Alligator mississippiensis: one gene and its partners. The protein of the gene in region 1 interacts with the protein of each later gene in a pairwise test. Links are inferred from orthologs where the notes say so. Each region holds a gene or a part of one and is shown in the gene's direction. Other genes may lie near its edges.

Region 1 (6,949 bases):
TATTCTACAACCCATACCCCTGCATGGCTACAACCTATACCCCTGCAGATATCCTTAGATTCTAAGGGTATCTACATATATTCACTCCTGCTGGTTTCTGAGGATGCCCCGAAACCAGGGCCATCTGTGCAAGATGGGTCACATCTTATGCCTTTTTATCTTTTCTAGCGTGAAATCATGATATCCTCCAGCTGTTAAACTGGACTCTGCACTCCCAAAGCCAGTGTCTTGACTACGCTCATATAACAGGCCTGACTGGGTTCAATGCCTGTGATGCTTTCCTCTGGGAGCTTGAGAGTAGCAGCGAGTATACAGACCAGGTAGCCATTTCAAACCAAAGCATTATTTAGTATTTTGCAATAGTAACAAAACATTTAGGGGGAAAAAAGGAATTTTAAGAACAAGAACAATCTAAATACTTATACACTTTATGTGACCAGTGATGTACCACCATCCAGATCTCTTGATGGTAACCTAGACAGATGTAGTTTCTTCAGACAGAGGATGCCCGTTAAGTCTTCATCCTGACTCCCTAATCATATACTGTGTATAACAACTGCAGAGAGCAAGAGATCCTCTCTGGCCTGCCCAAATTTCTTTGTTATATGCACTTCTGGCTTTTTACCCTTCCCGATGAACTAGTTTTGCAGGTTGGCTGGGGAGAAAGTAAAATCTTCAAAACTAGCAGTAGGGCACTGTCCTCTAGCGGCTCTCAAGTGTTTGTTTAGGGCAAACTTATCTTGGGCTATATTTTTGCATCCCTACTATCAAACTGATCTAAACTATACAAAATGATATCATAAACTGCTATAATCTGGTCACCACAGCATTCTGGGACCGTTAGGGAGTAGCTTCAGTTCTATTCAAGGGGCATAGGGTTGATTTTAGCCAGCTACACTGAGGTAAAGCTAGGGGACACTTTGTATCCACTAAGATTGTACAGGGTTAATTTTCCATGTGACTACATGCCTCTTTTGCAGTTTTGACAGAAATGCTAGACCTTTCTTCCCCATGGTTCAGGTCAGGTTTTACAGCCCCCAACTTATACCTGTGCTTTTGTGGCTCCACTGTTATTGGCCTCAAGCTAGCCAGATTGCAATCCTGCCTCTGGGTTGCTGTGCGGCGCTAGTCCAAGGACAGCAGAGGGGGTTATGCAGGAGGAGGCATGGCAGGACAGGGGCATGAAACTTAATGTGGAGGAACCATGGGGGCTCTGGAGAGACAGGGCATTTAAAGCTGATAAGTAGAAGGAAGCTAACACCCCAAATCACGGTTGGGAAGTGGACAGGGACCATGGGGCAATGAGGATGTCCCATTCCTTCAAAGGTCCTTGCTGCTGGTGCTGGTCTATGCTCCTGCCAGCTGTTATGGCAGATAACTTTCCAATAAGGGGTGACTGTACCGTGTCTGAGAACCTGAAGAGCTCCACTCTCAGGGTGAGACAGCACGGCATGCATGGGGGGAAGAAGCAAGCCCAGATGTGGCACTGTCTTAGCTTGCTTTCTTCAAGTTTGGCAGCTGTGTTTCTGGTTGGCTCATCACACCAGTTCCCTCTTCCCTGAACTCAGATGGTGGTGGGGAACCTTCCACAAAAAGACCAGGCTCCAGAGTATTTGTTCAATGTGCTGGTGGCTTGCATGCAGCTCTGTCTTCTCAAATCCTCCTGGTGGCAAACCTAGGCAAAGCAGCACATGGTCCCTGGTCCACTACTGCTGAGCTCCAATTTCTCTCACATGTGCATGCACCCACAGGCATCTCCCTTGCAAGATATGGGGCCCAAGGATAAAGCAGGATGGGTAACCCTAGCTGAATCTCAGCTCTGCCACCCCCCACAGTACAGTTCTACCTGGTGGAGGTCTGTTTTTCTGTACTTTTATTTAAACCAATTGGATCAAGGATTTTGAGTTTTGTGGGACACCTACTTTTGGATCTGGGGCTGAACTAGGCAATCTGAATAGCAGGGTAAAAAGCTCAGTTCTGTGCAAACAGCCACCTGTAGGACCAGAGCCCGGGGCATAGCAACTTCTAGCATGTGGAACAAACACGGTTCCTATACCCTCTCAGTGGTTTCTATGCTGTGAAGACACCACTATTTATCCAGCTTTGACCTAAAAGGGCACATTCCTCTCCCAAAGTCTCACCATCTGCTTTAATGCTTGTGATCCCCCATAATGACAATCTCTATTAAATACTGTGGGCTCTTCATATTAAACATTCTTCAGCTCTAGCAGCTTTTCTGCAGCTTATACGCAGAGCTGAATATTCTCAGCATCTTGCAAGATAAAGCCTTAAATGAGCAACTGGTGTCATTTGTGTTTTGGAATTAAGAACTCAGATTAGAATTTCCTTCATTATGTTCTGAGCTAATGTTGAAGTGCTGCCATTAAATGAGTTTCCAGTAGAAGTGTTGTTGGCAAGAGTCCCTTTAAGGCTGCTGTTGTGAACTGTACTATAGGGACGTGCGCTGTGGTAAAGATGCTCCATATATAATGTTCTCCGTAAACTACGTCTGTAGGTTGGGATCCTGTTGGCTCAGACTCCATAGGGGTCAGGTGTCCAGGTTGTAACTGCATTGGTCTAGAGACGAAAGGAATCAAAACTCATGGCAGAGGAATATCTTTTATTAGAGCGACTAGGCAGGCAAGGTTTGTTGGGTAGATGTGATATCTTTTATTAAACCAACTGAGTAGTTGGAAAAAAAGTTCTTAGCAAGCTTTTGGGCGCAGCTACCCTTCTTCAGGCACAGGGAGCCTCTGCTGGTCTGAGACTCCAAGGAATGAGAGAAGCTAAAAGTGTGGCAGGATGTCAGTGAGAACGTAAATAGGGAGAAATTAGAAAGACAAAAGGTAAAGCAGAGAGAGGAGGAGAAAGGCTAAAGGGAGACATTACAGTGATAGACTACAAGGTGGAAAAGAGGCCGTCTTTGAAAAAGGAAATAGCTGGAGATCAGGGCAACAGGAATGAGAGAAGCTCACAGTGCGAGAGGATGTATATAAATACCTAGAGTGGAGAAACAAAAGGGGAGGGGGAAAAGAGCAGGGGGGGGAAAGGCCAAAGCAAAACATTACAGAGGTAATAAAACAGGGTAAGAAAGAGGCTCTCAAAGAAGAAGGAAATAGTAGGAAATCAGGGAGACAAAGGAAAGAAAAGGAGGGGAGGGGAGAAAAGAGGTCAGGTCAGGCAGGCACCTGTTGAATCAGATGTCAGGCAGTGAAGAGAGGCTTTTTCACAGTCTGTCTCTGTAATGTCTCCCTTTAGCCTTTGTTCCCCCTGCTCTCTTCCCCTCCCCTCTCTGCTTTACTCTTGGTCTTTCTAATCTCTACCCATTTACCTTCTCACCGACCTCCTGCCACACTTCTAGCGTCTCTCGTTCCTCGGGAGTCGCGGAGCAGCAGAGACTTTTGGTGCCTGAAGAAGGGCGTTTGCGCCCCAAAGTTTGCCAAGAACTTTCCTCCAACAACTCAGGTGGTCTAATGAAAGAGATCGCATCTACCCAAGAGCCTTGCCTGCCTGTGTCCTTGGACCAACACGGCGACAACCAAGAACCCTGCGAGTAGTGTTTGCAAAAGCATGCCTGTGCAGGGGCCAGGGGGTGCTCAGCAGACAGATGCCCGGCTCTGGCTCCAGTCGCACGGAGGGTGCAGGTGTAGACTCGGGGCTCTCAGCATCCCTCCGGCCCGGACACGCGTTAGAGCCGGGGCCACCTGGAACAGTAGTACACGATGGGCACGGGCAGGACCCCCGCCGCGCTCGGCCACCGAGACAAAAGGCACGTGCGGCACGGAGTTCGGACGCGCCTGCGCAGTGCAAAAACCTGAAGCTGGAAGAGGGGGCGGGCCCTGACGTGAAGTAACCGCGGCAACAAGACCACGCGCCCGCTCGGGGGTCACGTGGAGCAAGGGGCGGTGCGGCGCGCGTGACGCCATCAGCGCGCGTTGCAGGAGCCCAGATCACGTGGCGCGAACGGCTGCAGGGCTGTGACGCCATCAGCGGGCGCCGGGCCCGTTCCCCGCTGCGGGCGCGGTGCGGGCTGAGGTGTGTCCGCGGGGCGGGGCCGGCGGGCGGGGTGTGTCCGTCAGGGGAGGGGGCTGTGCTCACCCGGTGGAGAGGTGCCCGTTGCCCCGCCCGCGGTGGCTCTAGCCGCCCAGACTGGTCCCCGCCGGCCTCCTGAGCCAGGAGCAGGTGCTGCCTTTGTCCCGGGACAGCTGGTGCCTGGGTTTATCCCGGAGCAGAGATCCCGGGATTGGCCTGTGCCGACATGGACCTTTCCACACAGGCTCGGGTGGCCATCCTAGAGGACAGTCCGGTTTTCTGCTACTCTGCCCTCTCTTGATAGGAAACCCAGCGCCTTATGTCCATTTCAAGAGAAAAATCGAGGACATAACGGCGTCCGGTTTCGTATCAATAGAGGACAACCGAACTATCCTCTACGATGGTCGCCCTAGCTGTCACTTTTGTGCCAGAAACCTGGCATGAGCCTTCAGACGCTGTCCTGGCATTAACTGTTCGTGCCCTTTTGTCCTATGAAGCTCCTGTGACAGCAGGCGCGGGCGTCCGAATGGCGGCACGTTGAGCCCGGATGAAACGGTTCGCCCCTCGACAAGTGGCGTCTGTTTGCGGCCTCCGTGTCGGAGGCTCCCCGCGCTCCCGGTGAAGTAAGGCTCTGCTCTCTCCGCTCGCAGGGAGCTGAGGCGCCTCCCGCTCTCCGTGCTATGCTGCTGACGCTATGGCTCCGAAAGATATCATGACTAACTCGCACGCCAAGTCCATCCTCAACGCAATGAATTCCCTGCGGAAGAGCAATACTCTCTGTGACGTGACCCTGCGCGTGGAGCAGAAGGATTTCCCAGCCCATCGGATTGTGTTGGCTGCTTGCAGTGATTACTTCTGCGCAATGTTCACCAGCGAGGTAGGCCAGGCAGTTGTCGCAAAAGGACTTTGGATCCGTGTCTGTCACGAATGTGGCTGGTGTCTCAAAACCTCCGACTGGGGATCCAGGGGGTTGTTGAGAAAGTGCTCAAGAGACAGGAGTTTCCACCTTGCTAATGTAGGTTTATTCAGCAGATAGCACATGCTCCTATACCTAGACATGCGCTGGTTACTTTGCAAGCGAGTCTTCCTCCGTATCCTTGATATTAGACAATTCAGGGTCTCATTGGGGCATAGTCTAGTCACCCAGCGGTTTAGTAATCCAGCGGCCTCTTGTTCCCAAACTTTTTTTTATGCCTTTTTAGTTGCGTATTTATTATTTTTACCATGACTGTTGCCAAGACTACTGGCCATTTTATAGATTATTTGCCTAATTGAGTTTTCACTATTGGTTATCTTTCTAAAACTCTGTCTGCATAGACACACCAAGGCTGTTATACTTTTCTTATCACACTTTTTTTCTCTTTCTGAGCATCTTCTTATTGTCCTTGACAAAGTTTCTACTTTGACAAAGCTTGCAGCTGCTTTGCTCAGCTTTAACTAGCTAGCGGCTTTTTAGCAAGCTTGCTGAAGTTTAGCAGTGCCTTGCAGAAGTGGCGACTGGCAGTTTTTACTGTTTCATGGCCGTCAGCCTCCTGCTGTACCAAAATGTAGTGTATGCTTCATCCAGCTCTTGCATGTTCTTTGTTCTAGAAAGGATTTTGCTTTCATCTTGAAAGGTTAGATTTTATTATGTGTATTATATAACCAAGTGTTATCCAATTCTACCTGGTTCAAGTGCCAGAAAAATGTTACTGTGCGCACTTGTAATGGTCTGAAGGCTAAGATGACAGACTAAGTCAAAAGAAACTGTGAGCAGGAAGAGGATCCATCCACTTCTTGCATTAACTGTTTTTCAGAAGGAGAGTACAATAAGATCATGTATATTCTTATAGGTAGAATAGGATCTGGCTCTGACTACTCAGGTTATTGAAAGCCTAAGGACTCAAAGCTTTCAAACGAAAAACATTCCCCCAGTGGTCTCGTCATCCAACAGTCTTTCTGATCATGGTATTTACATCATAATAGTAATTAAAGATTTCAAATGGGATTATTATCCTATTATGTTAAGTGCTGTATAACCAGAAACAATGCCTAGAGAGTTTGCAACCTAAATAAATAAGAGTGAGAGAGAGCTGGGTAGGCAACCAGTCCAGAGATGAGTTGCATCTCATTCAATATCATAGAACAGGTCAGTAGCAGAACCAAGAATATAACATTGATCTCCTGAACCCCAGTGTAGTGCTCTCTTGATTAGAAACTGTTGTTTTATTATTTGTATTAGCCTACACTAGCGGTGCCAGATCTAGCACCTATGCTGCATCTGTGTGTGGGCTGGTCTTTGGGCCAAATCTGTCTAGCACAGTGGTTTTCAACCTTTTTTCATTTGTTGAACCCCTTTGGAAATTTTGAATGGAGGCGTGGACCTTTTTGAATTTTAAGTGTGGTATTCACTTGCTTTTGATCATAGTCATCTTTCACGGACCTCCTAGATATAGTCTGCAGACCACAGGTTGAAAACCACTGGTCCCTAGCAGACCAGCCCTGCTTTACTCATCTGGCCCACAGGGCTGGGTGAGTTTGATATTTGCAGTTTACACTAAAGACATGTTCTTGTTCCAGGTCGGGGACGGGCAAAGTCCGGGCTAGATCAGGCCTGCAGCAGACTCCATTTCCTAGGAGCCCCTGGCCACATTGCTGCAACTGGTTTCCATGGAGACCCTAGGAGCAGCAGGGCCATGACAGCGTGGGGCCAGGGTTTCTATGGAGACTGGCCCCAGCAGCCTCCCTGCCCAGCCCATGCACCCTGCCAGTGCTGCTGGGGCCGGTCTCTATGGAAACCCTGGCCTCTTGTTGGCAGAGGCTGCTGGGAAATGGAGTCCAGCTGTTGGCTGGATCTGCCATTTTCCCCATCCCTGTTCTAAGTAGTAAAATGACTTTGGCAGAGCTACAGCTAACATTGATTCAGATGGGTAAATCT
Region 2 (7,783 bases), on another chromosome or scaffold:
AGCTGCCCTGGGGACCCCCACTCTGGGACTCCCTGTGTTGGGAATGGCTCAGTTCTCCATCAGCTGCCGCAGGGATCAGAGACCAAACACTGCAGCACTGACTCTTATCTTGCCCCAGCTCCTGGGCAGTTTCAGGCGTTTGGGTAAGTAAGGACAGCAGGATTTGTCCCAGTGTCTGCACTGGGTCATGCTGCAGTGACTCTGCTGTGTGAATTATCACCTCTCTCTTTGCTGCTTGATTCCAGAGTTCAGAAGAGCCCGAGGACACACAGGTGAGTGACCCTGACCCCATATCAGTGACCCCAGAGCCCTCCTTGGAGAACTTTGCTTGCTACAGCCACTGCTCCCACCATCCTGGTGACCTGAAGGTGGGCTTTGTGACCAGCAAGATTCAGTGCATCCCTGCTGCATTCACCCCTCACTGCTCCCAGCCCAGCACACTCTGTACGCCCTGGGCCCTGGACAGGGCTGGTCTCTGAGCCATGTGAGATCCCAGGCCCAGGGTGTTTTGGGATTCTCAGTCGATCTCCCTGGCACTGAGCCTTGTGCAGCAGCTTCTTCTGCTACGGTTGGTCTATTCTGTCCATGCAGTGCCCACACGCTTCCCAGAGCCCAGCAAGTGTCCTGGGCCTGCCTTGGGAGACCTGTGCCTGGGTCTGGGAAGATCGATAGGTCCATCCTTAAGGGGCTTTGATGCCCCAGGTCAGCAATGTGGGGTGGGTGAACCCTGCTCTTGTGAATGGGGCAGGCTCTGCAGGGAGACCTGGTGTTTCCCGCTCTTCACTGTGCAATACTTGGAGGGCAGAAGACCACTGTCCCAGCAGTGCCCCTGGTCTTGTCTGCATGGGGTGTTCTTGGCCCAGTGCATGACTCCAGTGCAAACCCCTGGAACAGATGCACTGCCTGGGAGTGAATGGAGATTTGCCCCTGGGGCAGCTGAGCCCACGGAGAGGGGGCAGTCAGTGGGGAAATGCCCCTAGCCCCCTCAGTAACCCGCACTCAGCAGTGGGCTCTTGTGCTTGGTTCCAGTTGTCTGGGCTGGCTCGAAAGAAGTGAGCACAGCCCAGATGCATGACCCTGCCCGGGGCTCTGTGGAGCGAGCAGTTGGCTCTGCCAGGGCTGCCCTGGCTGCAGAGCCAGCAGCACTTGGCAGACTGCAGCCAGAGGATCAGAGACAGGGCTCCTTTTATTAGACCAACTATTTATTTGGTGTAATAAAAGATATTGGATTTACCCCCAAGACCTTGTCTACCCATGTCCTTGGACCAACATGGCTACAACCAACACCCCCAAGGATGGAGAAACATTTGGCTTCCCAGACCTGAGCAGAGAAAAGGCGCCCCTTGCCGAGGGGCTGGGGTGAGCTGGGGTTCGGCCGAGGGCAGCAACCACAGGGACCTTGGTTTTGCTTTTCCAGACTGGAGGCAGGAGCCACAGTTGTGCCTCTCCCAGAACAGCCGTAGGAAGGAGTGGGGTTACAAGCATCTGTCTCTGACCCTGCTCTTGTAGCCACCCTGGGACTGAGGCCAGTCTCACAAGGGAGGTGGCCTGCAACTGGGCCCCCTGTTCCCCCACAGCCCGGCCCCCATCCACTCCTCAGCCCCGGGAGCAGGGCCTGCCTCTCCCCTGTCAGGCCCCAACTCCAGCTCCCCAAAACGAGCACCTGCCCCGACACACAGACCCCATGCAGGCAGCCCTGGGTTGGGCCGCGCTTGCTGCCTCGTTCAGGGCAGGAAACCCCCATGGCCCAGACCCGCATGCAGGGGTGGCCGTGTGGACAGGCTCCACTTGCAGCCAAGCTGCCTGCCCCAGTGAGGTGTGGGGGGTGCAGGGTGGGCAGCGGGGCTAGCCCCAGTCCTGGCCCTGCCTGCAGGTCCTCCTGGGCACAGCAGAGGTGGCTCCTGTGTGAGCACCTGGGGCACAGGAGCAGCAGCTCCTCTGCCCTTATGTGGGGGCAGGTATGTGGGCTGGGGGCACTTAGGGAGTTGGGGAGATCGGGGGGTGGGGGTGCTGCTGGCCCAGCTCACCCAAGCTCCCTCCAGCACAAGGAATTGTCCCCCCTGCCCTAGACACTCCCTGACTGCAGGGACGGTGGGCTGGGCAGAGGTTTCTTGTATCCAGATGAGTGGCAGCAAGCAGAAGTGGTTGGGGTTGTGGGAAGGGTTTTGCTCATGTGGGGCTTGGCAGGAGGCCAGGCTCAGCCACATGTGAACAGCCGCTTCTTTGGACAGCACTTACTAGGAAACTGGGACCCAGAGGGTTCTCTTGGCAGAGCTTCAGGGCCTGGCGTGTGCTTGCGGGGCCTTTGCTTGGCACCTGTCCTGGGGACAGTGGGTCTTGCCTTGGCACAGGGGAAAGCCCAGAGGTGAAGCTCATTCCTCTCCCTGGCCGGGGATTCCAAACCCATTTAATAGATTCATAGACTGTAAGGCTGGAAGGGACCTCGGAAGATCATCGGGTCTAGCTCCCTGCACAAGGCACTCTGGAGCCAGGGGCGCCATTCACGGGGGAGGGAGGACAGCAACTCTCCCAGGGGGGGAAGGACAGGGAGATGAGCAGGGTCAAGGGAGGGGGAGCATGGAGGACCCACCTTCCAAGCGAAGGAACTGCTTCTTTCAGCCTGGTCCTGAAAAGCACAAGCATGAGGAGGCCCCTGGAGCCCGGCCATTGCTCTGCTGGATGCTGAGGCCACAGAGCGTGACCCTAAGGAAGGGCAGTTACCACTGTATAGGGAAGGGCCCAGGAGGGGAGTGGGTGCAGAAACTCCTCAGTATCACAGCCGAGGGGCTGGGCTCCTCCAAAGGCTGCTTGGAAGGAGACACTGCTCTGGGATGAGGCCATGGGATAGGACAGCCATGACCAGGAGGAGCAGGGCCAGCGCCTGCCCACTCTGCTGAGTTGGCACATGTTTAAAAAAAATCTGGATTTTTTTTGCTTGGATCACTTGATCCCAGCTGACTTCCTGCCTATGGTGAGGGGGGGGGGAGGGGGGGGGCTGGACTTGATGATCTTATGAGGTCCCTTCCAGCCCTTACTGTCTATTCATCTATGACTCCCAGCTGGCTGGTGAAGGCCAGGGTACTGGGACACTGGTAGAACAGCTCACTGGAGAGCAGGACCTGCAGCTCAGCCACTCGCTGCTATGTGAGCTGACACACACACAGTGGCTCTCAACCAAGGTGCCATGGCAGGTGTTGGGGGTGCCACACCGTGTTAATGTTCTTACGTATGCAGATACGAATTGCAAGATTAACCCAGAGTTTTCAGCTAGAAATCCAGTGTTCAGATTCATAGGTGTTAGGGTCCGAAGGGACTTCAGTACATCATTGAGTCCAACCCCCTGCCCTGGGCAGGAAAGAGCGCTGGAGTTAGATGACCGCAGTCAGGTGCATGTCGAGCCTCCTCTTAAAGACCCCCAAGGTAGGGGAGAGACATGTTAGAGATGTCTTGCCTGCTGCGGCCTTTCTGAGTTCTTTGCAACAGAAGAATTGCTCTATTCTTTTTCCAGACTCAAAAAGGGAATTAAACCAGAGCTGGCCTTTTCTGAGGGGCGCCTTGAGTCTAATGAGAGATGCCTTGAGTGTAAAAAGGTGGAGAACCAGTGCAGCCCCAGACCCTGCAGAGACTGTGCATGCAGGGAGGGCTGGTGTTAACTATTCCCCTGCCCTGGCTCGCTCTGCTTGGGCCCCTGTCTCATACACTGGCAGCTCTGCCCTGCCCTGCCCTGCCCCTGCAGTCAGGAAAAGATAAACTTATTTGTAGCTGCTGTTCCCCAGGAGCAGTGGAGCTGGAGCCATGGCTGTAGGGAAGCTGGCAGGGAGGTTCCAGGCAGAGGTGACTTGCTCCATGTGTTTGGACTAATTTATGGATCCGGTGATGACTGACTGTGGGCACAGCTCCCCACGGTGGGGCAGCTCTCCCAGAGGCAGGGTTCACGTGTGGGACCTTACCTCAGCCCTGCATTTCCTTCCTACGGTTCATCTTTCCGTAGGTCGGGAGTACGTGCTCTGGCTCTCAGGGTGCCAGTTAAGCAGTCGCCACTTTCTCCACCCTGGAAGTGAATGAGGCACCGGCCGGCAGGCCCGACTCCTGTGTGCGGGAGGTCCCATGGGTGATGGGGGTGTCTCCTGGGATGCTCCCCATCATCTCCCTTGGCCGACGCCGGCTTGAAAGTCTCTGCACGAAACACTTCTTCCATTCTTAGATCCTGGGACAAACCCAGGCCTGGTGAAAGCCCAAGACCAACAGGACACGCAGCCCTTTGAGGCGATCTGTGCCTGTGGGTTTTACGCCGGGACCCAGGGCCTTACAGATCCCGAACCTCTGGTCAGGATTTCAGCCCCTTTGGTTCGGGGTGTGATCTTTTCTCTAGATCAGTCTGTCTAACGTATCTCACGTACATCTGCTGACAGTCCAGGGCCAAGAGCAGCACGGGGCAAATTCATGCCCCACCTCCCTGGGGGCACAGCCCTCATCACCCCGCCCCCGCGCGGGTAGCCACTGACATCTGGCGGGAAGGGGGCACCGAGCCCTGCGCATGCGCGACGGGAGCCGGGGGCTCAAGCTCTGCCCCATGAGAACTTCAGCGTGTGGGCGCCTACAGCACTGCCTGATCCAAACCGGCGTGAGACGCGGCCGCCCCGCGGACTCTTCTCACACGCGGCCGCACACCGACATGCCCCTCAGAGGGCGGGGGATGGGGGGGGGCCCGTCGCAGCGGTGACGGGGCGCATCAGGCGCGCCGCTAGCAGCCCCATTTGGCCCCGAGTCTTGAGGCCCCCGTCCCCACGTCACGCATGCGCAGAGCGGTGTGCGCCGCAGAGCAGCCGGTGCGGGGAGTCTCTCGCAAGCAGGTTCGGACTTGGGCTTGGTGGGGACCCGGAAGCGGCCCGTGGGGACCGGAAGTGAACCCCGTTTCATTACCAGGGACACCGGAAGTCACCCAATTTGAGATAAGAAACCGGAAGTCATCCTTTTTGACCGAAAGTCGCCCCCTTTTGACCGGAAGCCCCATCTCATTCCTCACGCGCCCCCTCTTTTTGAGTGGGTGGGACCGGAAGTGCTACCTTCTCTCTGGCCGGAGCCCCCAGCACGGAACCGCCTTTTCTTTCCGTAAAGTTGCCCGATTTTTTTATGGACGGGAAGTGGTTCTGCGCCTACCGGAAGTGACGTCCTGGGCAGGAAAGGGGGCGTGGCCAGGTGTCTGTTGGGCCTCTCCCCTTCCTTTCCCCCCCTCCCAGCCCTAGGAGCTCTCGGTGGGTACCTGCGCGTGTGGGGGAGGGGTGATGGGGGTCTCGGTCCCCCCCCCCCCGCCCCGCGGAGGCGGGGTTATACCCTCCCTGATCCCTCTGTGGGCAGGTATAGCCGGCCTTCTGCCCCCGCCCCCCCTGCAAGCCTGGTGAGGAATGGGGTAATTCGGGTCGGGGGGGTGCTGACCCGTCCCTCCCCCTTCCCAGGGGGGAACCAGGAGGGTCGGTGGGAGGTTCAAGGTCAGTCGCTATAATGATAATATAAGGAGAAGTGTGTATTTAGGCATCATGCCCAGTGTCTTTAATGTGTTGGCAGCCTGCTGGGCTGTGCCAGCGCTCCTGCTGGGGCTCAGCCCCGGGGTCCTGGCTAGAGGGTCTTCCCCTTTGTTCGGGGTCGAGCCGACGCTGTGTCAGGAAGGAATATTCCCCCCGATCGGGCTGGTGGGGACTGGGCGTGGGGGGGGGGGGTGTCAGCCTCTGTAGTGGGGGGTGCGGCCCGTGCCTGGGATCTCTTGAGTGATTGTTAACAACCTGTTGCAGACAGAGGACGTTGCTGCAGTCCCCCTGCTTTCCCTGTGGCAGGTTCGGGTGTGGTCTGTGCTGTCAGGGTTGGTGGTCGTCTTACGTTTACCTGAGTTTACCTGATGGATTTGTCTGAGCTGGTCGCGCCAGGGCTGACCCTGCCTCAGGCTGGGGGTTGGACTAGAGGTGACAACTGGAGGTCCCTTCCTGCCCCACTTCTCATGATTATGCCCCCTGGAGACTCCTTCCCGTTCTGCATCCCTAGGATTTCTGTGATTCTCTGAATTATCCAAACCCTCTTTGTTATGCGTAGGAAGACTGTGGGCCTGGGCTCCTTGCTGTACACGAGGGACTGTAGGCCCATGCAGAAACTGCTAGCCCTGTCTCCACTTCGACCTACTAGGTGCTTCAGAACAAAATTGGTGGGAGAATCAACGAGAAAAAACCAGGGTGGGAGTTGGGGGGGAGGGTGGAGGCCTACAGCCTATAAAATTAGGCTGTAGGCTAATTTTGAGGGCTCCAAGGGGGCACTAGCCCTTGAAGAAGCCCAAGAAGCCAGTGGGGGTCACCCGGTGATGCTCTGCCTGGAGATGTGTCCTAGTGAGGACCAGGAAGACGGCCCCACAGTCATCAGGGTTCCTCCTACAGGCATGTCTGTTATGTGCGTGGAGTTGTGGCCTGGGCCCACCAAGGGAACCACACGCTTCCCTTAATTAGGGCAGTTGATAGGGCAATGGTTTTCAAACTGGGGGGCGTGAAGGAATGTTGGGGGAGAGAGGGGCAGGCAAGACGTTTGCAATGAGCCGGCGCTGCTGCAGCCTCACAGGGATGCAGGGGCAGGACGCCCCAGACAGGCTCTGCCAGCAGGCTGCTGCGACTCTGGGAGCCTGGCATGGCAGGTGTGCAAGGTAGAACTTCAGTGGGGCCAAGGCAGGAGGCACTGGAGCTGCAGCAGGTGGAGTCTGGCCCCCCCGAACCCAGTGGCTGTTAGGCTGAGGGGCACCCTGTGCCTGGTTGTGCTGCTTCCCTGGGTTGGGGTGGGGGCATGAACAAAACTGTAACTCAAAGACAGGCTTTTCTCGAAGTTTACTGCAATAGGGGCACAATAATTGATTCCTTGGCACAACTAATGCAGAAAGAGGGACAGAAGTAGGGGTTGGAGGTTGACAACAAGTGCTCCAAGGCGGGGTAGGGGAATTAAACAGGCCTTTTTGCTTTGCCAAGAGGATTGTGGGCCAGTGCCTACCAAGGAAACTTTAAGTCCCCCTTAAGAAAGGAGGGGGAATTATACAGAAGGGAAGGATTTCTTAGGGGGCCTCGTAAGAGACCATGAGAGGTCTGTCTTCCTTATGATCCTATAAGTGATAACGAGTTAATACATGAAGCAAGGATTTCCCTAGGGTGATCTCTCTTATTGCACCGACTGCAGGGTGGAGTTTGATAGGCTTTCGAAAGCAAAACTTCCTAGTTTGGGTTTGAGCAGGAAAACATTTCAGCATTTGCTGCCTTGGCTTTATATCTGTCAGTTTCAAGCCCTGAAACTGACTAGTGCTTCCCAAACTTTTCCTTGGTATGACTCCATTTATGGCCCCATTTCCTCAACATGCCGCCCCTGCCCCAAACCCACAGGTCCCCACCCCCATGACCCCATCTGCTGATTTTGTGACCCTACTTGGGGTCAGAACCCACAGTTTGGGAACCACTGGACTAGGCCCTCTTGATAGCAAGGCTTTTAATGCTGCCTTTGAAACTGACTTGATCTGTCAGTATGCAAGCCACACACCAGTCCTGAAACTGACTAGATTTTGCCAATATCAGGGCTTTTGATGTGTCCCCTGAAACTGACTAGATCTGTCCCTATCCAAGCTGCACCTACCTGTCCTGAAACTCACTAGACTCTGCCAGGACGGTGGCTTTTAATACAGCCTGTGCAACTGACTAGATCAGTCAGTAGAAGGGTCCTAATAGGGATCTGAAACTGACTAGGCCCAGTGGATATCAGGGCTTTTGAG
Region 3 (7,920 bases), on another chromosome or scaffold:
AGGTGGAAGGAGCAGTGGCTTAGAGTCCCTTTTGAAGGGTATGAGTGTAATGTCAGGCCAGTCAGATCCTCCCCACAACCAAATCCCACTAAATGGGGGCTAGGGGCGACCGGCCCCCACAGCAGTTTTCCACATATTCCAGGCCTGATCCCTGCCCCTCCAAAGGGACCAGGCCAGTTATCTCAGGCTCAGGGTTCCTGCCCCTGCTCTGCAGCTCTCCCTGGACTGGCCCCCTGCTCCCTGGCCAAGGCTGTGAGTGCCAGGGGAGGCTGTCCCAAGGCAGCCAACTGGCGCTGTCCCCCTGGGCTAAGCCTGGCTCAAGGCTGGGCTGTTAATTCCCCTGAGAATTGCCTTGGCATGCAGAGGGCCAGGCACAGAGCCAGGCTTGTGCGACAACTGAAGCAGAGTTCAAGGGCTGGGTTGTGCATGCTCTGCAGAGCCCCCACCACTGAAGCTTAGTGCGACCCAAAGTACAAGATTCTCACACATACACCACCCCCTGCAGAAGGTCTCCCCTAGACACAGCTATGTGCTGCTTGCTTTCTCATATCATTCCCCCTCTATTCAGAGATCTCTGAATTGAGGTACTGTGATGCTCTGGGCTGGGCCAGCAGCAGAGAGGCCAGAGTTCTGCATGCCTACACCTGCCAGGCTGGGGAACCCCTGGCCCCAAACACAGCCAGCAAGAATCCCAGTAGCAGCTCTGGCTATAGGGGGAGCCTGACCCATTCCCCCAAATGCAAGGCCTATGCTCCTAGACCAGCATTCTTCCCTTCCCTTTCATTTGTAGGGTGACAAGATTTACATGAGCTGAGACTCGAGATGTCCATGTCCAGGTGCCACCCTGAAGCAGAGAGCCCCCAGACTGTCCCTTTCCTACTGCATGACCAGTGCCTTCAGGCTCTTGAGGTCCCTCCACAGTACAGGGCAGAAATTAGTGGCCTCTTCAAGTCCCATACCCCATAGCTGGGCCACAGGGCACAAAGCATACCTTCTGGCTCTCAGTCCCTGGTCCTGTGGCATACAGCAGCTAGGCCCTTCCCAGCAGCAGCTAAATGTTTATACACCTCTACTTCATAGACAGGTGAGGGTAGGAAGACCCCACAAGAACACTCAAGACCCAGCTGCCCCCCCCCCCAGCATGGGGATAATGGGAAACAAAGGCAGCAGATGGTGGCATCTAATGATCTTTGATCTGGAAGTGAAAGCTAGATGCTTCCTTCCTCCACTCACTGGCTTGAAAACTAAACCAGGCAAAGGCCATGGATTAAGAATTTCTGTTAAACGTTTATTCAAAAAACTGAGCATTGGATGGAGATGGGAGAGACGGGGGCCGAGTTGGCAAAAAAGGACTATCCAAAAAAAAAAAAAAAAAAAAATTCCTGTTCCCCCTCCCAGCAGAGGCCCTCCCAGCCCCCTCCCCCACAGAGCAGGATTTTTGGTATCAACTCCCAGAGGGATAGTTTACTTCTTAAAAAAAAGGGATTGGTTCAGCTCTACCGGGCACCCCCAGACGACATGAACCTGGACAGCATAGCCATGGTGGGCAGAGCTGGCGGAGCAGGCACAGCAAAGAGTGCTCCCCAGCAGCAGCCACTACTTCTTGGCCTTGGCCGAGTTGCGCGGGGGTGTGACTGGGCGCCCACCAGGGTTCAGGCCACTGAACTGCCCATATTTGCCCTTATTCTTGTCAGCTGGCTTCAGGATCTGGGGAAGAGAATCGAGTCAAGGAGAGGGCATAGTTTGTTGTACCCCAGACCCCGAGAACAGACTGAGGCACTGGCTAGAGGACAGCATCTCCAGCCTGGGTGGGGGGGACAACTGCCCTCCCCCAAATCACAAGCAGCAGGGTTAGTATTCAGGGTTCAGAGCCCCTGGGAGTCTCTTGAAACCCCACTCCAAGACCCAACTCCTCCCTCATCAAGGTTTTCTACAGGAGACAGGCAGATGCTTGCAGGGTCAGGGGAAGGGAAATTCAACCCTTACCCAGCTCTGAGCCTGTGTCCGTAGGGTGAGAGCTTGGCTCATTGCCATGGTTGCCAGGGAGGGGTGGGGAAGAAGAGCCCTGGCCTGAGGCTCACCTGGAAGGAGCACATGAGGGTCTCATCCACGCTCATCATGGCACCTGCATTGTCGAACTCGCCACAGTAGTTGGGGGCTGAGAAGAGTGTCACCAGCTGGCGCTTGGCAAAGAACTCATAACCATCCTCCACCACCTAAGGCAGAAGGACAACGAAGGGCTTGGCACCAGGACTCAACTTAGCCCTCCCTCTGCCAGATGCAGGGAACCCACACAGGAGCCCTGGCTCTGCCTCCTCCGCTATAGCTCTCTGCCATCCCAACCACAGGCTCTCTTCACAGCTCTGCTCTTCACTTCTGACCCGCAACCCCTTGCTAGCCCACCCCTGAGTTCCCCTAATATGGCTCTATCTCAGGGTACAGGGTACCTGGTGTGCCCGGCAGATGAGGTCCAGATCGTGTTTGTGCAGGAATTTGGCCACAACCTCAGCGCCAAAGGTGAAGGAGACGCCACGGTCGTTCTCGCCCCAGCCCTGCACGTCCTTGTCAGGATCGGACCAGAGCAAGTCACACAGCAGGCCCTGGTCTGGCACATCCGTGGGGCGCATGATCCGCCGGATCTGCTCCATTGATTGCAGGTCAGGGGACAGCCCTGGGAAGAAAGGGGGATAAGGCTGTGAGACATCATACCCCAGCAGGGGGTGGTGCTGATCTGCTGGAGAGCATCCCCAGTGACCCCCCCACAGCAACCCTCTACCCCTACACAGCCCTGCGGAGCCTCTCCCCCCAAACCCCACCCCAGCAGTGCCTCATAAGGGAAAGGACTCCCTCTCCCCCTCCCGATCACAAGGTCTAGAGGCCTGGGCACTGTCCACCTCCATGGCAGCAGAAAATCTTCTCGTCCACAATAGCAGCAATGGGTAAGCAGTTGAAGCAGTCAGTGAATGTCTTCCAGAGCTTGATGTTGTAGCGCCTCTTGCCTGCAAAGCACAATATCTGGGATGGGAGCCTCACCACAGCAGCAGCCCCTTCTGCTCCCACCACCTAAGAGTATCTGCCTTTCCCGGGGTGCACACTCCCTTCTAGGGAGACCCAGGTCAGAGAGTCACATGGTTTGGGCCACCATAGGAGATGGGACAAGCAGCCCCCTCATAGTTGGAAGGCACCACACTTACCACATCAGCTGCCCCCAGAGCACATGCCCACATGCTTGCAGCTGGGGAGTGCACCCTTGTGACTGGGAGTGTGGTAGGGTAAGAAATTTGGTGCACAAGACAGAGATGCAGCTGATACCCTCAACTGCAGGGATGCGAGTATGAGGCACAGGCGTGGTTGATGTTTGCACATTTGCAGTTAGGTGTATGCTCACACCTGGAGGCAGGCAGAGGTTGCAATAGTGGGGGCCCAGGGTCATTAGCACTCAAATGCAGTTGATGCTTGCATACTCGCAGCACGGCCCAGGCTCAGACACAAATGGGAACAGTCATGCGTCCAGGTAGATAGGGGCAGGGGGAGGGGGGTGAAATCACACTCACATTCGTCGTAGAAACCATAGATGCGATTTATGCTGGCGCACTCGTGGTTGCCGCGCAGCAGGAAGAAGTTCTCAGGGTACTTAATCTTGTAGGCCAGCAGAAGGCAGATGGTCTCCAATGACTGCTTGCCCCGGTCCACGTAGTCACCCAGGAAGAGGTAGTTGCTCTCAGGTGGGAAGCCCCCGTACTCGAAGAGCCGCAGTAGATCGTAGTACTGCCCATGGATGTCACCTGGAGAGTGCAGGGGGGAATGGCACCCTCAGTACACAGACCTTCTCCAACCTCCCTACCAGCTACCCAGAGACCCCCAGCCCAGCAGGGAACCTATGCTGTCCCTACCAGCCCTGCCCAGAGATCCCGCATCCTCCTCCCCTAATCCCCCAGATTGCAGCCGGAGCCAGGGGACCACTCTGACCCCCCTACCCTGCCAGCATCAACAAGGGATTCCTAAGACCTGCCAAGACCTCCCACAGGGGAACCCACCACCCCCACAAATGGGGTGAGGGTGGCAATAGGGGACAAAGAAGTGTGTGTGTGGGGGTGGGGGGGCTGCTCCAATCCCCACACCCAGCCCACCTCAGCAAGAGACCCCCAGGACCTCTCGCAGGGGGACCTTCCACCCTTAGGGCTGGACTGGGGGGAGCAATGGAGAGTAAGGTGCAGGTGGGACCGCTCCGATCCCTGCGAACACCAGCCAGGACACGCTGCAACCTCCCGCAGGGGAACCCACTGCCCTAAGGCTGGGGCTGGGGGACAAGATGCGTGGACAAGGGTGGCGGTGGGCCCTGGGGCTCACCGCAGATCTTGAGCGGCGCCTCGAGCTCCAGCAGGATGGGCTGGCTCAGGAAGATCTCCCGCGACTTGAGGCACAGGCCACGGATCTCGTTCTCCGTCAGCTGCACGTTCTTGCCCGGCCGAGAGCCCTGCACTGCAGCGGGGCGGCCCACGGGGGCGGGTCACCGGGGGGGGGGGGGGGGCAGCGCCTCCCCGCCCCCGCACGCACGGACACATGCAGGCGCCCACCCACCCACGCGCGTGAGCACCCACGCCCACCCGAATGCATGTGCACACGCAGCCCTGCCGCCCGCCCCAGGCCCATCCCGGCGCCTGCAGCACGTGCCCCCCCGCCCCGCGGGCTCAGGCGAGCCCCAAGGGGGCCGCCCCTCGCGCCCTGCCTCAATTCCCCGGCCGGGCCCCGCGGCACCTTCCAGCAGGCGGCCGATGATGGAGTCGAGGTTGAGCTTCTCGCCGTCCGCCATGGCTGCCCGGCCCGGCCTGCGCTCCCCCGCCTGCTGCCTCCGCCCCGCCCCGCCCCATCTGCGGGCGGGGCGGGGCGGGGCGGGGCTGGGTCCCCGAGCCGCCAGGCCTCGCGCCCCGCCCCGCTGCGCAGCACCCGCTGCGGCCTGGGGGTGTCCTTGCAGCCAGCCGGCGGGTCGTGTGAGTGCAGGGGTCATAGTGGTCCGGGCTCCCCCGTGGCCGCCGTAGAGGACACTTCTGTCCTCTCTTGATACGAAACCCGACGCCTCTATGTCCTCGAGTTTTCTATAGAGGACGTAAAGGCGTCCAGTTTCGTATCAAGAGAGGGCAGGGGACAACCAGCTGGCCACCCTGCGCCCCAGCCCATCCTCTGGGGCAAGGGGGGCGGGGGGTGAGCAGGGCAACCGCCCTGGGCACCAAAGTGAAGGGGCACTGACAGGTGCTGCTCACCCGGGGCGGGGAGTGGGACGGAGCTGCAAGTGGCTCATTTTGGGGGGGATGGAGGGAGGATGGCTCTCGCCGCTGCGTTCACTCCCGGGCAAGCATTGGGGTGGGAGGCGTGTGCCCCCCAGATGTGTGCGCAGGGCAAAGGCAAACTGCCGCTGTGGGCTTTGCCCCGGGCACCAAACTTCATTGCTACAGCACTGCTCTGCAATGTTGCTGCCTGGTTGCCTCTCTCTCTCTTTTTAATTTTTTTTAATTTCATATTTCAGGTTGAATTTGCCAAATCAGTTCCAAAGCCTATCAATTGAGCCGAACTCAGTCATTCAAATCCATGTGGCGCTACCACTGTATCCTCCATCCCAGACTCTTCAGCCTGAGGCTTCAGATACCCCCAAATCCATTGGCTGGCATCCTACGTACAGGCCCAAGCCCAGAGGTCTTGGGGTTCAGATGTCCCCGAGTCTCGCTTGCCCTTAGGAGGTGTCCACCATTTCTATAAAGTAGGTGTGTAGCCAAGATCATCCCACTGGGAGGCTATAGTGGACTCTCATAAGGTGTCCTGTCCTCAGTGCATTGCACAGGTATGCACCCACCATTGCACACTGCCATTCAAAAGTGATCTCGGCCCCGGCAGCAGACCAGTGCAGGGACTACATTGGATCTTAATCCAGAAGAGGCCTAGTCACCTCTTTCTTCTGGATCACAGCCTCGCAGACTCTTCCGCTCTAGCCAAAAAACTTTAACCTCTGTGTGGTCATACTACCTCAGGTGATTGACAGTGAGGTACTGGAGGCACTGTCAAGAAGCTCAGGAATGCTGGACTTGGGTTGATTGAATTGTGATGGCTTTGTGACTGATGAGATACCTTTTGACTATGACTGTGTTTTGTCAAATTTACTGTGCTTTTTTAAAGATAAAAGTTTCCTATCATCTAGGAAATCAGTGCACATTCCAGCAGTTATACCCTGTTTACTTTTGCTTGGATCTCAAATTGAATACTGTCATACTAGCCCCGTAGCATATTAGTAAAGCTTCTAGTTTCCCTTTAGTTGGAGAAAAAGAGTGTTGTGTTGTATGTGACAATGTGCCACACCACCTGTACCCTACTTTTCAAAATCCTAGATCCACCCATGCCTAGGGCTGCCACCCAGTGTCACTAGGGGTCAGACAGTGCCAGTGCCCAGCAGGAGGCTCCCACCCCCACACCACTGCTTGGCAATGACTGCAGGCACTGCCCACCACTGCTAGTATCCAACACTGCCATGGGGGCTCAGCACCACCCTCAGCACCCCATGTCAATGCCTGGCTCATGATCTTAAGGCCATCACCACCATACAACCCCCTGTGACGCTGTCTGCCTTGCACCCCTGGCACAGTGCCATGTAGGGGGTGATAGCTGTGGGAGGAGCTCCCAGTCACTCCAGTACTGCCTCAGTCAGCAGGTGGAAGGAAAGAGTGAGTGCCCTCTGCCTCGAGTCCCAGGCCCACTGGCTGCTTACTCCTGGGACCTTGCCCTCCTCATGCACTCCCCAGGGTGCCTGCCACCATCCTGTGCCATGTGTCCCCCCCTAGGACGGTTGCCCACACCATGCACTGCCTCTCTAGGGGACCTGCCCCCTCCCTGCGTGCTCTCTCCCATGGGCCCCTGCGCCCCACACACACACTGCCTGCCGCCTCAGCAGTATCAGGTGCAGGAGGAAATGACTTGTGGGAAGGAAATCAGCTTGCAAGGCGCACGCCGGGGCTGAGGTGCCAGCAAGGGACAGACACACGGACACAGCATCCTGCATCAGGAAAGCCCCCCAAGCCCAGCGCAGGGCACGAGTTAGAGGCCAAGGAAGGTGAGTGGGATCCTGGGGAAGACTGGAGCACAGGGTGTCTGGACAGACGCGAGGGGATGTTCTGAGAAACTCCCCAAGCACTGAGTGTAGGGAGATTTAGAGATGAGGGCTTGCCAATAGATGTGGGGGAGCCTGCATGGGTGAGGGGTCGGACACATGCTGCATGGCCAGCAAGACAGCCCCAGCATGTCCCATACACACTGAACACACATAGATGGGGTCCTGTGCTGGGGTGCTGGGGGAAATGGGCGGACCCAGAGAGGGCACAAGGCATGGGATGCTGTGCAAGAAGACCCCATGGGGAATGGCGCCCAGGGTAGACACTGTGGGTAAGAGGCTGCAACACCCCAAACAGAAAGACTAAAGTGATAGGGGAAGGAGGCCCTGTAATGGACAGACCTAGGAAGGGAAGAGGGTGTGAGCTGTGGACAGGCAGGTCTGGAGGGGTGAGGTGCAGGGGCATAGGTGGGCAGGGCCTAGGGGGGCGAGGGGGAGGCTTAGGAGGTGGGGTGTGGATAGTTCCTTTGGGGAGAGAGTGGGGTGGGCTGTGGTGAGAGCCTATGTGAGGGTCTCTTTTGGGTGCTTGGTCCTGGGCTGTCCTGCTCCACACTCACTGTGGCCCTCTCTCCCTCCTGCAGGGTGCTCTCGTGGGCATGGCGACCAGCACCATGTCATCTGCTGACTCCTCCAGCCACAGCACCCTGGAGGACCTGTCGGATGCCTTCAGCTTGGCCCTGGAGCACCATGAGGACTCCAGCTCACTAGGCTCTGACTCTGAGTTCAATGGGGTTCCCCCATACCGCCAGACTGATCGCTATGGCTTC
Region 4 (7,531 bases), on another chromosome or scaffold:
TTGTTGTTTCTCCCTGGGAGAAACGTTACAGTCTTTGCATTCTCCTATGCCCGAGGAAGGGCGCATGTGCCTGAAAGCTTGCAAATAAAGGAAGTTGGGGTTTTTGCAACTGTCTAGTTGGGCTAATAAAAGATATCGTCTCTACCACACTGACTGCTTGCCTTGGCAGCGCTCTCAGAGGAGGCGGAAGGAGAGAGGCCGAGGGGACATCCCAGATGGCCAGAGGCCTGGACCCAGGCTGCAAGCAGTGCCCTGCCCTGCTGGAAGCCAAAGGAGACCCCTCGCTTTCCTGGGCCCCCTGCCCCTCCTGTCCCACCTGCTTTACCCCCTACTAGTAACCTCCCCCTGCTGCCTCTGGCACCATTGTGGGGCCCAGAGCAGGCAGCCTTTGGCTCACCATGCTGCATCAGTCATGGGACAGCACCAGCACAGCCTCAAAAGAAGGGGCTTAAAAAAAAAAGCATTCCTTTTTTCTTTTTAAACCAGCCTCTTTTTTTTCTGCATCCCGGTTTCCGAGCTCCTGTCCTCCCGCTCTGTCTGGCAAGGCCTAGAGGCTGCTGCAAACGCTAAATAGGGAGAGTCCGGGGATGGAAATGCAAGAGCTGGGCACTGTGGAGCCTGCCTGCATGGCACTACCCCAGCTCGCCATGGGAGGGCACTGGGCACAGCTGTAACGGGCACAGGAGTTGTCCGGACAGTGCCCAGGTATGCACCCAGCCTTTGCAAGGGGCACATGCAACATGCAAAGCCATGGCCCAGGGGAGGTGATGTACCTCGCCACACATGCATCATGCACACATGCATAGGTGTGCACACATCTGCAGATGCTTCTCTGCACCTAGAACTGGAACCCGAAGTATCCTGGACCGGTATCTGGCTTGGACACTCGCCCAGGCCAGCCCAGTGGCTTGGATCCTCTGTATCCACTGCAGCTCTGTCTTTCCTTTACTTCTGGCCATCGCTGGCCATCCTGGGAGCCCTCCTGTGTAGGGCAGGACAGAGCTGAGCCCCTGCTCTGGGACCAGAGACCGAGGCATAGGTGGGACTCTGCTCCGCTGTGCCTCATGGAGCAATGTGCCAGAACACAGTGGTGGCTCCTAGACCTTCCTCCCGGCTGATGGGATGCCTACGGTCTTTGCTGCACAGGCCAGGGTGGAGTAGGGCCTGCCCACCCTGTGCCCTGCCCTCCAGCTCTGCCAGCACCCTCCAGGAGTGCTCCGGGCTCACGGGGGTTGCACTCCCTCTTCGGCTGGCCTGGCATGGCAGCAGCAGAGCTCACAAGGGGTTAATCATTCCAGTGCCTAAGTGGCTCCAGATGTGCTGGAATGACTGGGGTGACCGGAAGTGCTGCTATTCGCATTCACACTGGAGCGTGCAGCTGCTCCCACCAAGGCACCAGGCAGGAAGGGCCAGCTCTGGGGGGAGCCCCCCAAAGCCTGGAGGAGAGTCAGGGATGCAGTTCAGCCCCCATCTCCCTGCAGACTCATGGGATCGTCCCAGAGCAGAATGGGCACAAGGCTCCTGTGCCCCTGGCCTGGGGGCAGCATTAGCCGCCAGGACGGCAGGAGAGGTGGGGACCAGAGCTGCCCACTGCCGTCGCACTGGGGGGCTCTGGGTTGGCCCCTCTGGGATGCCTTCTCCCCGCACCCCTGGGGCCCACCACTTGCTGCGATAACCACAGCCGCGGGAACCAGTGTCTCTGCACGGTGACAAGAGCTCGTGCATCAGGGCCTCATGTTGCATCAATGCCCACCCAGGCAAAACAGTCCAGGTAGCAGCCCCAGGCACCTGGCGGCAGCTCTCCTTGAGCCCCTGCCCTCAGCCAGGGCTCGAAATGGCCCCTGTGAAGCCATGCCGGGTGCTTGTTCCCACTGTGCCAGCCCCATGGGTGCTAGTGCCCCTGCCGCCCTGCTGTTCATCCCCACTGGCTAAATGAGCAGCAGATGCTGGCATGACTTACAGGGTGAGCATATGCTGCTCCGTGCCCCCCTGGCTAGTGATAGGGCCTCTGACATCTGTCTCGCGGCCTGAGGCTTAGACCCCCACCTCATGGGGAGGAGAATCACCCGGGACAGCTCTCTGCGGGTGCAGCTTGGCGGAGCGGAGAGGAATCGCCCTTTATTTAAGGAGCCGGGGGACTGGCAAGGCCCAGGTGCAGCTCTGGCATCTAGAACGGGTGCAGGCAGAGGCCAGGAGCACCTTAGGCCCTGTGGGCACTGCTGAGCTCAGCATCCCTGCAGCAAACCCCAGAGCTCGGACGTAACTAATCCCTCTGAGCATCACGGCTGGCCGGAGGTCTCTTACACCGGAGCAAAGGGAGCTAGCGAGAGCAGGCAGCCTCTCTCCTCCCACATACGTGGCTTACTCCAGGCTCCCCGTGTCCTGTCCCGCAGCGCCCGTAGCCCAAACACCCTGAGTTCCTAAACAACGTGACCTTGGACAGGCACGAGGGATGCAGCAACAAGGACTCGGAGCAGTTTGCAGCATGCACCAGGCCCTCCTTAGCACGACTTTTTCCTCTACGATGGCTACGATGGCAAGCCCTTCCCAAAGCCCCAGGGTAACAGCCCCCTGCCCTCCTCCAGAGGGGCCTCAAGACCCTGCTGCCTTTGCAAGGGATGGCTGTGGGGGCACACCTTGGAGACCCCAGCCTGCCCACAGGACGGAGGTGACCCCAGGGTCTTGGTACCGGGCAGCTGTCCCGTCAAACGGCTTGTGGCTAAAGACGAACAGCCCCCACCCTTTCCGTCCTGCCACCCCACAGGGTTGGCCTGCAGCAGCTGGGGAGAGGTTTGAGACTGTGCCTGCACCCCGAGGGCCCTGGGTCCGTACCTCCCAGCCTCTCCCCCCACCACTCAGCATGCCGCGAGCAGCTTCCCATCTCAGAAAGGCCCCCAGGACTTGTCTGTCTCTGCAGCCCCTTCTCTGCACCCAGTGCGGGTGCTCCGAGGGCCTTTCCTTGCCTCCAAAAGGAATGAATCCCCAGTGCAAATAGCAGGGCAGCCTGTGCAGGTCCCTCGACGCTGCTCCATGCCACATTTCGGGCTTGCCACCAGCCCATTCACCTCCACAAGAGCCTCCCGCACGGCTGCCCCTAACCTGGGCTAACCCTGCACCTCACACCTCTTGCTCCCTTCTATCACGGGCACCGAAGGATGCTGTGCAAGCACAGCCCCATTGTATGGTAACAGCTCGGGATTTCCCATGGACAGTTCCTCCCCCTCTCCCATCAGCAGTCTCTGGATAAGCCGTCTCCACTTGGTTTTTCATCAAGGAGAGGAAGAAGATACTGAGATAACTAGAGATAAGCAGCAACTTCTGAAACCACCGGGGCTGGCGACTCATCCGCCGGCTCGACTGGAAACCATCCACCTAGCAAAGTAAAATGGTGCCTCCAAGCTGCCCTTCGCCTAAGGGGCACGCAGCCTGTACCCAGTCTGCTAAATATGTTTGGAGAAGGGCAGGGGATGCTTTAGAAAGGGCTTTTTGGCCCGGGGAGATGTCCTGGGACAGCGTTGCCAGCACAGCTTTGTGGGGTTCTCCGCCAGGACGCTCCTTCGGGATTCAGAGCGTCGTTTGGCGTCCAGTTTGAGACATGGAGAAGAGTTGTTTCCAGATAGAGAAACCTAAGGCAGAGCACAGGGTGATTTCCCCGGGGTAACGACATGCCAAAGACCCGCTGGGCCCAGGGGCCATTAACCTATGCTGGACCCAGGTGAGCATTTCCCAGGTCGGCTCAGTGGGTCGTCACATGCTTGCAACATGTTTTTATTGTCTGGGCTTTCCCAGGATATCCTGGTGAACCCAGGGCCTGAAACCAGCTCCAGGGAGCCAGAAACTCACCCACAAAAGGTTCTACTAAGCCAGAAACTCACCCAAAAAAGTGTCCAGATATGGCATCAAGCTGCCAGAGCCAGAGAGGTGCAATAGGTTAATCCCCATGTAGACAGACCCCTGCGCCGGGGCGCTCAGGGAAACCCCCCGCATTTTTGCAAATTCATCTCCCTTCACAAAGCTCAGGGTGCACATCCAGACTCAGATCCAAAGGGCCTTTGTTTGAATCCAGTGTCCACATGGGTTCCCGGTGCCGGGGGGCTAACCCGCGCCCCACCGGCAACTCGGACTCCTTTGCTAGCCCTGGTCCCTGACCCTGGAAGAATGTACTCTCCTTCCTCACTGGGCTGTGCCAGCAAAGGAGTCGTTGTGGTGGGCTGTCGAGCCCGCGCGCAAGGGGCTGCACACCTAAGGGGCCGGGTGGCTGCTGGAGAAACACGGCGGCCGGCCCAGCCTGCTGCCAGGGGCTCAGCCTGCACGGTGCCAGCTCCAGCCAAGATCCGAAGGGAATGTGTGGAGTCAGTTGAGCACAGGCCTTCTCGAATAAAAACATGAGTCAGCTGCTGGCGTGGGCAGCGGATTCTCTAAACATCCCCTCATATCCTGAGAAAGGGGAAAAATGGGAGGGGGGCTGGAAGCCAGGGAAAAAGAAAAAAGGAGGAGGCAGGGAAAAGAGCCAGAATTGAAAGCAGACGCGGAGAGCAGAGCTAGAGCCAGCCCAGCCCAGGGAGGCAGGGCAGGGCAGGGGCTGCTCCCCGGGAGGCGGCTCGGACCTGCCCCTTGCGCTGGATGCTCCAGGCAGGACAGAGCTCGGGGGCAGCCCTGGCCAGACGGGGAAGGGCTCCGGCCGCACAGGCTCCAGGTAAGGGCGTTTGAGTGCCCCCTCGCCCCCCAGCCCTTGCAGTTAAATCCCTGCGGCCATGCAGCTCCCCAGGTTTGGGATTGCAATGCGGAAAGGGACCCTGCTGTCTGCCCAGGCTCCAATGCAAGTCCCCAGGGACTGTGATGCAAGTCCCCAGGGAGTTGGCTGTATAGGGGGAAGTGGGTGACCCTGGGAGGGGGCTGGGGGGTTGCACCCAGAGCTGGGCAGAAGGGGCAGGCAGCCCCGAGTGGGACAGAGGCAGCAGGGTGCCACCCCGGGGTGAGAGCCAACCTCCCCTCTGCAGGGCTGGGGTGATGGGGGAAGCCAAGGGGTTTCTGCCCCGCTTCCTGCTCCTGTCCCAGTGCCCCCCGCTGTGCCAGGTGCAGTGGGGGCTGAGGGCAAAGCTGGGGGGGCACTGGGACTCTGTGCTGGGCATCGGTGCCTTGGCCCAGGCTCTGCCTCTTAGAAAGCAGCTCTGAGGGTGCCCGGCTGGCGAGTACTGCGCTGACCCCCAAGGCACTTAGTCAGGGCCCCGTGGGAAGGCGGGGCTGTGCTTGCTCCCCAGAGCAGGGTGGCACCCATGGGAGAGCTCCTCAGTTGTGCTCTTTGGTCTCTCCGCTGGCCCCACAGCAGATCCCCACGAGGGCAGTGACAGGTCTGCAGGGGCCCTGGAGGGAAGTGAATGCTGGCAAGCCTCGGGTGCTCACTCTAGGAAGAATTTAAGCTTGTGTTTGGGTCCCACTGACTGCAACGTGAGGACGGCTTCCCTGTGCAGACAGGCGTCCCTCTGCCCAGGACGTCCATGGCATCATTCAGTGGGACCTTTGCAACCCCGGCTACGTCCATCCTTGTTTCATGTGGCCCTCGGCATGCGCCTTCACGTGAACGACTGCTGTGCTTGCATTAGCCAGGGAGGCACAGAACCGCGCCTCCCTGACTTGAAATTTGCCCCTTGCAGCGTCCAGGTGAGCCTTAGCGGATAACGTCCCCATGGAGGGGAACGGGGCAGCTCGGGTCTCTGGTGGAGCTGCAGCTTGAGGCTCAGGGTAATCTTGGGGGGAAGCAGCTGGAGCAGAGCTCTCGCTGCTGCCGGGACCTGAGAGAGCTCCTTCCCGAGTAGCCTGGATACGTGCAGCATGGCCAAGTGGAAGGTTTCTTTCACAGCCATCAACCTCAATGGAAAGCTGTGTTCTGGTGAATTTTAGGCCACAAAAGCCCATCAAGTCGGGGCAAGAGCCCCAAAGGAGGCTGAGCCATGCGATGGGACCTTGAATGAGTTAGTGCTTCTGAGCCCACTCACGGGAAGGGGCCCGGATGCACTGTCCAGCTTCCTCTTGGAGGGGATTATTCATCCAGCCGGGACTTTTCGCAGGGGAGCTTTGCACCTTTGCTGTTTGAAAAGACAAACCTTGAGTGGAAGCATTTCCCAGCTCAATGGGCGAGGAAAAGGCTCTTCTTGCACCCAGCACCCATCCAGCATCCCAGCGTGGGTGGCCTGTGCTAAGCAGTGGGGTGTTTCTGCTCAGGTGGGCAGCAGAGAAGGGGTGAATGGTATTGCCGTTTGAATTTGGTCCTTAAGGACTGAGGGTAATCCTCTGGGGAGCTGAATGGACGGCATTCGGCGGTCACCCGCCCTAGGACGGGCGCAGCGCTGCACAATCCGTGTTTCATTTGCAGTTGTGAGAGTGAGAAACTGAGGCCAAAGTTTTCCGAGGAGGTGGGTGTGTTTGAGTGCCTCCAATTTGGGGGCACTCAGCTGAAGATAGTTGTTGATGGTTGTCTTGTGTAGAGCGTAGATTATGGTTTTTATGGGATGCTTTGGATAGGGGTGATCCTGCCTGAAGCAGGGGGTTGGACTACACTGACTTCGGGAGGTCCCTTCCAGCCCTGCGCCTGGGAAAACCAGCCTGTTATACCCTGAGTGCTGAGCATCTCTCTGACATCCGAGTCCCTTGCTGAGGTCTGTATCCAAAATCAGAGACCCCCCCAGTCATGCCACCGCAGGGAGTCGTGGTCCCACATGCTCAGTGGGTGGAAACCAGGGGTTTCTGCAGACCTCACCTGCTCTGCGCTCATTGCCTGTGTGCACACACTTATCCCACCAGAAGTGGGAGCTCAGCCATGGTGACTTCTCTTCCACGCAGGGTAAGGGACCACACAGCTTGGCTCCCTCTCGGGGTAGGTCTGAGCATGCAGAGCTATCACCGAGCAGCTGCCACACGAGAAGTCCCCGTCCCCCCGCCTGTCAACTATCCCTATGTCCAGGTACTAAGTGAGAGCTGGCAGGGCAGGGGGAAGGCTGGGAAGAGCAGCAAGCAGTGCCCCGGTTTCCCACGTGTCCCCAGAGCCATGGGAAAGGAGGATGGTGTGCAAAGAAAGGTCTCCTGCCTGAACTGTCATCGGGTGGTGAATCTGAGACGATACACAAGGTGCAGGCAAGCAAGAGGGAGTCCGGCGGGAAGCAGCAGGAGGGATGAGAGGTTTACGAACGTGTTAAAAAAAAAGGGTGAAGGAACTAGGCTCCTTTAGTCTAGAGAAGAGAGGACTGATATGAGAAGTCTCCTTCTTATGTAAAAGGTTGTAGAGAGGACAGTGAGCTGTCGTCTGGGATTTCCATTTTGGATGCTTATCTTGCTGGGATCCTGTGACTCCGGCTGACTTCCTGCCCTTTGGGCCAGGGGCTGGACTCGATGATCCTCCGGGGTCCAGCCCGAATGTCTATGAATGTATGACAAAAAGAAATCATTTTATTTGCAACACAGAAGATTTAGGCTGGATGTCGGAGAAACATCCTCAGCTAGAGAACCTGGACCCTTCCTCCTTGGAGGTTTTTAT

Evidence for each region.
Region 2: the proteins of KLHL12 (region 1) and BAG6 interact in binary tests that used the Homo sapiens proteins (3 or more experiments, as listed by UniProt). The two-hybrid records come from large-scale screens. The link is inferred for Alligator mississippiensis from reciprocal best matches to the Homo sapiens genes KLHL12 and BAG6.
Region 3: the proteins of KLHL12 (region 1) and TBC1D10C interact in binary tests that used the Homo sapiens proteins (3 or more experiments, as listed by UniProt). The two-hybrid records come from large-scale screens. The link is inferred for Alligator mississippiensis from reciprocal best matches to the Homo sapiens genes KLHL12 and TBC1D10C.
Region 4: the proteins of KLHL12 (region 1) and PDGFRB interact in binary tests that used the Homo sapiens proteins (3 or more experiments, as listed by UniProt). The two-hybrid records come from large-scale screens. The link is inferred for Alligator mississippiensis from reciprocal best matches to the Homo sapiens genes KLHL12 and PDGFRB.

Annotation. Positions count from the first base shown.
Region 1 is NC_081837.1:33,121,357-33,128,305, reverse strand, and holds the start of KLHL12 (kelch-like protein 12), read left to right. Parts: upstream 1-3,945; 5' UTR 3,946-4,035; intron 4,036-4,529; 5' UTR 4,530-4,726; coding exon 4,727-4,909; intron 4,910-6,949. UniProt on the Homo sapiens protein: Substrate-specific adapter of a BCR (BTB-CUL3-RBX1) E3 ubiquitin ligase complex that acts as a negative regulator of Wnt signaling pathway and ER-Golgi transport.
Region 2 is NC_081834.1:58,568,957-58,576,739, reverse strand, and holds the start of BAG6 (large proline-rich protein BAG6), read left to right. Parts: upstream 1-4,771; 5' UTR 4,772-4,853; intron 4,854-5,166; exon of another isoform or gene 5,167-5,255; intron 5,256-7,783. UniProt on the Homo sapiens protein: ATP-independent molecular chaperone preventing the aggregation of misfolded and hydrophobic patches-containing proteins.
Region 3 is NC_081825.1:176,231,148-176,239,067, forward strand, and holds the start of TBC1D10C (carabin), read left to right. Parts: upstream 1-4,904; 5' UTR 4,905-4,991; intron 4,992-5,524; 5' UTR 5,525-7,096; intron 7,097-7,734; 5' UTR 7,735-7,749; coding exon 7,750-7,920. Other genes in the region: PPP1CA (serine/threonine-protein phosphatase PP1-alpha catalytic subunit), read right to left, coding at 1,597-1,707, 2,082-2,216, 2,448-2,671, 2,895-2,999, 3,555-3,785, 4,351-4,482, 4,759-4,813.
Region 4 is NC_081832.1:75,044,845-75,052,375, reverse strand, and holds the start of PDGFRB (platelet-derived growth factor receptor beta), read left to right. Parts: upstream 1-4,518; 5' UTR 4,519-4,696; intron 4,697-7,531. UniProt on the Homo sapiens protein: Tyrosine-protein kinase that acts as a cell-surface receptor for homodimeric PDGFB and PDGFD and for heterodimers formed by PDGFA and PDGFB, and plays an essential role in the regulation of embryonic development, cell proliferation, survival, differentiation, chemotaxis and migration.